Linked DNA regions of Arabidopsis thaliana. The protein of the gene in region 1 interacts with the protein of each later gene in a pairwise test. Each region holds a gene or a part of one and is shown in the gene's direction. Other genes may lie near its edges.

Region 1 (3,754 bases):
GGTCTCTTATGTGTGTTAAGCTGAACAAAACAATAAAATTACTAATGTTCTAATGGGAAAAAGTTTGCAAGTTTCAGACTGTTTCCTTGTTTTTATTGCTAAAATTATTAGAGGAACAAAAATATATGATCTTCTTTTGTTAACAAAAAGAAACGTTTGCAAAATTGATCTTACTTTTGAAAAAGCACATGTAACTATTGAGAATCGGATGCCATGATTCTCTTCTCTGCATCGTGACTCGTGAGAATAGGATGTCGTCATAGCTTTCTTTCTCACTTTGCAAAGAAAATGTTTGACCTTTTGCAGCTAAAAAGTACAAACCATGAAGTTGTCTCTACTTTACTCTTCTGCATGTATAAAGGATTCGTATGTGGTCAATACATTCACAACTCCATTTCAACTTCATAAGCGGTAAAAACTTGTTACACAATTCTCTCTTGGTTGATTGATTGCTCTTCTTTCTTGTTACCAAGTACAACTTTGGATGTAATTAGTGATGAGATTGTTATTTATTTGATCGTTTTGACCATGTTTTCAAATGTCGAAATTTTCATTTTAACCATGCGTTCGTACACCTTCTACTCTCTATTGTATCATTTCATTCAATATCTGGTATATATATATGGCGACATGTGTTGTGCTCCATAGTGCCCTCATATATATGTTCGCTTTTGCTTCCCTTTTTTTCTTCTGCTAATTAGCTTTAATTACATCTACTAAAAAAGTAAAAACACATTTATGAAAAAAACATAGTAATAACTAGACTATGACACGTAAATTAGTGGTTTAACTTGTGTTTGTACCATTGTTATATCACCATGGAGATTTATCAAAATATATATATATTTTTAAAAAAAGAGTTTAGTTTAACAACTATATTTAACAACTATATCGAACATACACTTAGACTTACATCTATGCCATTGTCTCATCTATTCACATTTGAAATCTTTTAGAACGATGGGTTAAAACTCTAGATTAGGCTGTGGACCACCCAAGTGATAGCAAACAATGTACACGCCGCTATGATAGGAGCTTCCACTTATCCTAATAATTAAAGTATTCAATACCACGATTCAGAAGTCATCCAAAGTCAAAACCTCGCACGAGTCATGGGCTCATGGCTTACCCGCTCCGCGGTTGTACTTTGTATATGTTTCAAAAGCAGGAAAACATTTTTTAAAGCAATTGTAAAATAACAAAACAAACATAAATTATTTGATAGCCGGAAACTATATATGTATTTGTTACGGCCAGAAGTTGATTATAACCAAAGTAGTTAAATCTTGAATCTGCTTTTTCATTCTAACTTTTTTTTTTACCACACATCAATCCAAAATACTGCCGATGAAATTTGTAATTAGTATCAACTTCTGTCTAAAATACAAATTTGAACTTCTAATTTAGATCCAAGCGATGACAACTACATTTCAAGTATCATTGTAGTTTGATAGACTAGTGTTACACTAAACCTAATAAATATACCAATCAACACACAATGAACCCTTGTTCAGGAGTAATAAGGGTTCAAATTTGCAACTCTTTTGTCAAGGGAAGGAAATAAATAATCAAATTGTTAGCCGATGCATGATTGACGAAAAGTAGGGGTGTTTTTTACAAATAAGCTAAGATGGCTTTAGAGGACCACCAATCGGTCCAATCCTTTAACACTCAGAGCCTGAGGCAGAGAACACGATGGGTCATCTTATATTTGTTTATAAAATTGCCAATAATTGAGATAAGGTATCATGATTCATCAATCTAGCTAGACTGTGTGTACCATACATAAACTATAACCCATGTGTATAAAATATACAAATATCTGTGAACATCAACCACCTAACTATAATGAATATGAAAATCATACGACTAAACTAATTTACGTAAACTATACTACTTTGAAACAATTATTCATCAAATTCTCTTATACTATTAATTGTGGTTTACTAAACTTCCAAGTTTTATGTTTTACTAATCCTGTAAAATTAGACTTTAGCCGAGTCCGTTTGAATCTAGGATTTTTGAAATTTCCAGGTGGCTCAAAGCTAAAGAAAATGTGAATGAGAAATGATTTCAACGAAAATAAGATTTACATAATAGCCAATGACATATATGCACTTGTCAAGTTGGAGTTAAACAATAACCACACACCGAATTGAGGAGCCCATTGGAAAAAACAGAAGCAAATATATTTTTATGTAAAAATAGAAACGGAATAATATAGTAACAAAAAGATACTCTCTTCAACCTTATCCATTCTTCGCCACTTCTCCCACTAATCCGCTAAATCATTCTTCTTCATCTCTCTCTCATTCACAATTCCCGAAATTCTCTCAAATCACAGATCCTTTTAGGGTTTTTCCACTGTTTCTAGGTTTTTTTTATTGCTCAAATCTGATCAATGGATAGTTGTCTCTCTAATCAAACGGCGCTTCAGTTTCTCCCGTCGCGTTCCAGGAGACAGAGCGGCGATGGAGGCGGTGGTTTTGTTATTCCGGCGAAGAGGAAGATCCAGTATAGTTCGATGGTTGTGGTTGCGGCGGCGGGACAGAGTCGGTGTGAGCCTGGAAGCAGTCTAAACGCGCCGCTTGAGCCACGATCGGCGCAGGGGAGGTTTCTGAGAAGCGTGTTGCTAAACAAACGGCAGCTATTTCATTACGCCGCCGCTGATGAGCTAAAGCAACTGGCTGATGATAGGGAAGCTGCTTTAGCTCGTATGTCTCTCAGCTCTGGTTCCGATGAGGCTTCTCTCCACAGGTCCGTGAAACCTTTCCTTATCTAATCTCTCACAATTCAAAGATCCGTAAACAGCTGTAGAATTATAAACATACAAAGAAATATGTGTAAATCATTACTTACATACTCTTATTTAATCGACCACAAATCAGTATTTTATTAGTATTTATCACATAAGCTTGTAAAGTTTGATTATAAGTTGTTTGATGGTGTTTATCAGTTTATGATGATTTGAGAATCACACTAATGATATGGTTGAATTGAAACAAGAGAATTCTGTAGTTATGATCTTCAGGTGCTTTCTCATACTCTGCCTTGTGAAGCAAGTTTTGTTTTAGTGTTTGATAAGGGCTGGTTTTGCTTTTTTACATTTCATTGTTGCTTAGTTCGTTAAATAGTTTCCGTATATTTTAGTTTCTTGCCTGTGTTAAACTCTCTGACTTGCTCAGGCCATTTTATGCTCTGTTTGTGAACATTTTCTCAACTATCTTCTGCTCTTTTACGAACACTAACACTCTGATTCCATGGTTGGCAGAAGGATAGCTGAACTCAAGGAACGCTACTGTAAAACTGCAGTCCAAGACATAATGTACATGTTAATCTTTTACAAATACTCCGAGATAAGAGTCCCTCTTGTTCCAAAGCTATCCAGATGCATCTATAATGGAAGACTCGAGATCTGGCCTTCAAAAGACTGGGAGTTAGAGTCAATTTACAGCTGCGATACCCTTGAGATCATCAAAGAACACGTTAGCGCAGTCATCGGATTACGGGTCAACTCATGTGTGACTGACAATTGGGCAACAACGCAGATACAGAAACTGCATCTCAGGAAAGTATATGCTGCCTCGATCTTGTACGGTTACTTCTTGAAATCAGCTTCCCTAAGGCACCAGCTTGAGTGTTCCTTATCAGATATTCATGGAAGCGGATATCTGAAAAGTCCCATCTTTGGATGCTCATTCACAACGGGCACTGCACAGATCTCCAACAAGCAGCAGCTGAGACATTACATCTC
Region 2 (3,754 bases), on another chromosome or scaffold:
TGTGGGAGTTTTGTCTAACCACACATATAAGAGAGGAACAACATGGACTCGAGGAAGACCACTCGTAATGAAGTTAAAAGTTGAAACTTGTAAATATTATCAATCCCAACAAAAAGAAGAAGAAGAAAAAATATATATTGGTTGTTTTAAACTCACTTTTGCGATAACTTGGAAAGTGGGAGGACGCTCACGTGCATGCATACATTTCTTGTCTATTATATGTAGCTGATTCAACATAACTCTATATATCTTGTTGTCTATATTGCATTATAGTTACACTTACATTACATACGTAGTGTGAAAACGATGCATAGCATTACTATACATCAAATCTGTGCATATATATACACGTTACGTTTCTTGCAGTGAAATACTCGAAGGTGGATATGTGCTCTTGCACCACCTAATTAATCTCGGGTTATGTAAGAATTACTTCAGAGTTCAGAGTATATATCTATGTGATTCTTGCGCAGTGTCAAGTGGATTGGGCATGAGATTGATAACCGAATGGGTGAGGGGTCAAATATCGTTATTTGGATATAGCGGGATTTTAAACTGAATGATTGGGCCATGCATTGCTTGGGAAAAAGGCTAAAATTAAACAAGATTGAGATACACATTACCCACTTGTATTTTAGTTTCCAAAGAAAAAAAGGAAAAAAGGAGCAACAAGGCAACAAGTATGTAATGATCAAGGAAGTAAAAAAGGGAAGAGGAGTGTGAGAAAGAGAGCAAAGAGGAGCTGTTGGAAGAGGGAAATGGTCTTCTTCTTCGTCCTTTTGGTAATTTTTCTGCTTGTGTTGTGGAGAGTGGTAGTACTAGTGTAGAGAAAGGATATGGAAATCAGATTGTGATGAAGATCTGATTTGTAAAGAAGGGGCCTCCCCACAACGCCCTTGAATCTTCCGCTCCAGCCTTGATCTCCGATTGTGACGATCACCGCATCGGGACGTGGGGAGAAGGAGACCCAACCTCTTTTGGAGTAGACGTGGAACTCTGCATGGCAGAAGTTGAGACATAGAGAATGTCTTTCGTCATAGCCTCTTAGCAGCATCCTTATGGCTTCTTCCTTTGATTCGTTTTTAATATTATGCCTCTTCACGTAGCAAACCCCTACCCCTTCCTTTTGGCTTCTTCCTCCTGCTCCTAGCTTTTCTCTCACCGCCTTCCCTATCCTCTCTGCCTCACCCATCAACTCCCTGCATCTTCAAATCATTACTTACTACTTTATTTTAAACAATATATATTCCTAATCAATTACTATATATAGTAAATTTTGCTGCCTTACCTCAAATCTGAATAACAAGCCGTGTGATCATCAGCATTAATATCTTTATTAAACACGAACTCCTCCGTCTCATCGTGGAAAATGGTTTTGTCCATGGCGGCTTTCACCATAGCCTCTGGAACACCGTGGTTAACGAGCTGAAAACAACCGATGGTGGCGATGGCATCAAGCAGAGCCGAGAGGGAGTCCAACCGGTGGAAATCGAAGGTGGGAGGGTTGAGAAGGAATGTGTGCTTGGGGAAGACTTTATCGGGCAATACAAGATTTGGGACTCGACCACACTTGTCCAGGAACTCCGAGAGGACGTCTTCGTTGGCCGTGAAGGAGGCACGGCGGCTGGATGCTACCGGGGACGGAGGAGGGGCTCGGAAGTCGGGAGAGGAAACTCCCATTTTTGTTTGGGGTCTTACTCGTGATAATACTTGTATATATGTAGAGCAAGGATCGATCATTGGCCAAAGAAAAAGTTTTTGTTAAATAAAGCGAGAGCATAATGATGAGATGCAATTCTCTTGTTTGCTTTTATTCATTGCAACTTTTCCTTTTCCAAAAACCAGAGAGGATGACACTATTCATCATATTATGGATGGACCCAAGTTGGGCCTTAAGCGGCCTTTTGTTTACCCAATTGACGTGGATCCTCACAGGATGGGCATCGAGTGTGACACAAGTCCAAGTTGGAAGAGTCCTTTTCTGTCACATAAATAAAAAAATAAATGTCAAGTAGAGAGGGCAAGTGGTGAATCTCTCTCATACCAATTCCAAACCAACTAAATCTACTTAGTACCAGTACATTGATGGTAGTTGCATTTTCGCTTGAAATTGTCTGTCCTTTTGCTAGTTTGAGTCACAATTTTCAATTGAAAAGAAATAAGAGAGAGAGGTCAGAGTCAACGAAAAGTTATAATTTAGATTTTGTGGGCTAAAATTGACAAAAGCGTACCAATACAGGGACCGGTGAGCAATGGCAAATTGGTAAATAAAGGGAGAAGCCAAGGAGTGGAGACGCAATTTGGGAAGAGATAGAAAAGGAAGAAGACACGTCAACAATGGAGGTTCTGAAGAAGAAGACTCTCTCCCAGCAGATTTAGAGCGTGTGAGGGAGATAGGAAGAGAGAAAGTGAGCGAGAGACGATCACGGCCGCGCTGAAATCCACGACCACGGCCGCGCTGAAATCCACGACCACGGCCGCTCTGAAGAAGAAGACTCTCTCCGTCTCCTCCCTTCTCCTCCTCCGTCTAAGAGACAAGGCATCCCCAGACGCCATGATCTCTCTCACTCCCTCGTTGTTTCTGGTATTATTTACATCATTCCTTCTCCATCCATCGTCCATGTCTCATCTTTTTTTATATACGAAAAAGTCTCATTGCTTTGGTTTCTCAGAACAAGACGGTTGTTCCTGGATGTTCCACACGCCTCTCTCTGCGCCAGCCTAGAACTATAATTACTCCTCCTGCTTCCTTGAGAGTCTTTTCCTCTCTCGGATCTAACCAGGATCCCACCGGCAGCGTTTTGATTGAGACCACTGCCACTTCATCCTCCTCTCTCGAGACCTCCGCCGCCGACATTGTTCCCAAATCCACCGTATCTGGTGGAGTTCAGGATGTCTACGGCGAGGATGCCGCCACCGAGGACATGCCTATCACTCCTTGGTCTCTCTCTGTCGCCAGTGGGTATACGTTGTTGCGTGATCCACATCACAACAAAGGCCTTGCCTTTAGCCACAGAGAGCGTGACGCTCACTATCTACGCGGCCTCCTCCCCCCCACTGTTATCTCACAAGATCTTCAGGTTTCCCGTCTTGTCAGGTTTCACTTACCCTTTCTATATATATATATGCAACTGGAGATTTGGACTTTTGATCCTTTTACTGCACGCTTTGTCTACAGGTTAAAAAAATTATGCACACTCTTCGTCAGTATCAAGTTCCCTTGCAGAAGTATATGGCTATGATGGATCTCCAGGTAAACTAACTCATTAGGAAGTCTCGCTATCTCAACTACACCAAGTGCCTTCCTTTGTTACCCAACTTCTTTCACAATGCTTTTGTATTTCAGGAGACCAACGAGAGGCTGTTTTACAAACTTCTCATTGATCACGTCGAGGAGTTGCTACCCGTTATCTACACTCCAACGGTTGGGGAAGCCTGCCAGAAGTATGGTAGCATTTTCCTGCGTCCACAGGGGCTTTTTATCAGCTTGAAAGAAAAGTGAGCCTTTTTATACGGAAATCAACTACCACTTTCACTATTCTTGTTCTCATCTTTTAAGTGAGGATACAATTTTCAATAATAGAGGTAAGATTCATGAAGTGCTGAGGAACTGGCCTGAGAAGAACATCCAGGTCATTGTTGTCACTGATGGGGAGCGCATTTTAGGGTTAGGAGATCTTGGATGTCAGGCAAGTTGTTTGATTCTTTTCTGCTTTCATGAGAGTGGTGAGTCAGGGTTTATCCTCTTACTAAT

The links. Proteins that work in one complex are often made in the same cells at the same time.
Region 2: the proteins of AT3G07310 (region 1) and NADP-ME4 interact in a two-hybrid assay, tested with the Arabidopsis thaliana proteins (one large-scale study listed by BioGRID).

The regions. Positions count from the first base shown.
Region 1 is NC_003074.8:2,328,325-2,332,078, reverse strand, and holds the start of AT3G07310 (phosphoserine aminotransferase, putative (DUF760)), read left to right. Parts: upstream 1-2,152; 5' UTR 2,153-2,401; coding exon 2,402-2,757; exon of another isoform or gene 2,758-2,987; coding exon of another isoform or gene 2,988-3,031; intron 3,032-3,271; coding exon 3,272-3,754.
Region 2 is NC_003070.9:30,009,980-30,013,733, reverse strand, and holds the start of NADP-ME4 (NADP-malic enzyme 4), read left to right. Parts: upstream 1-2,043; 5' UTR 2,044-2,554; coding exon 2,555-2,584; intron 2,585-2,672; coding exon 2,673-3,080; intron 3,081-3,178; coding exon 3,179-3,253; intron 3,254-3,346; coding exon 3,347-3,498; intron 3,499-3,583; coding exon 3,584-3,689; intron 3,690-3,754. Other genes in the region: DTA4 (downstream target of AGL15-4), read right to left, coding at 692-1,199, 1,289-1,740. UniProt on the Arabidopsis thaliana protein: The chloroplastic ME isoform decarboxylates malate shuttled from neighboring mesophyll cells. The CO(2) released is then refixed by ribulose-bisphosphate carboxylase. This pathway eliminates the photorespiratory loss of CO(2) that occurs in most plants.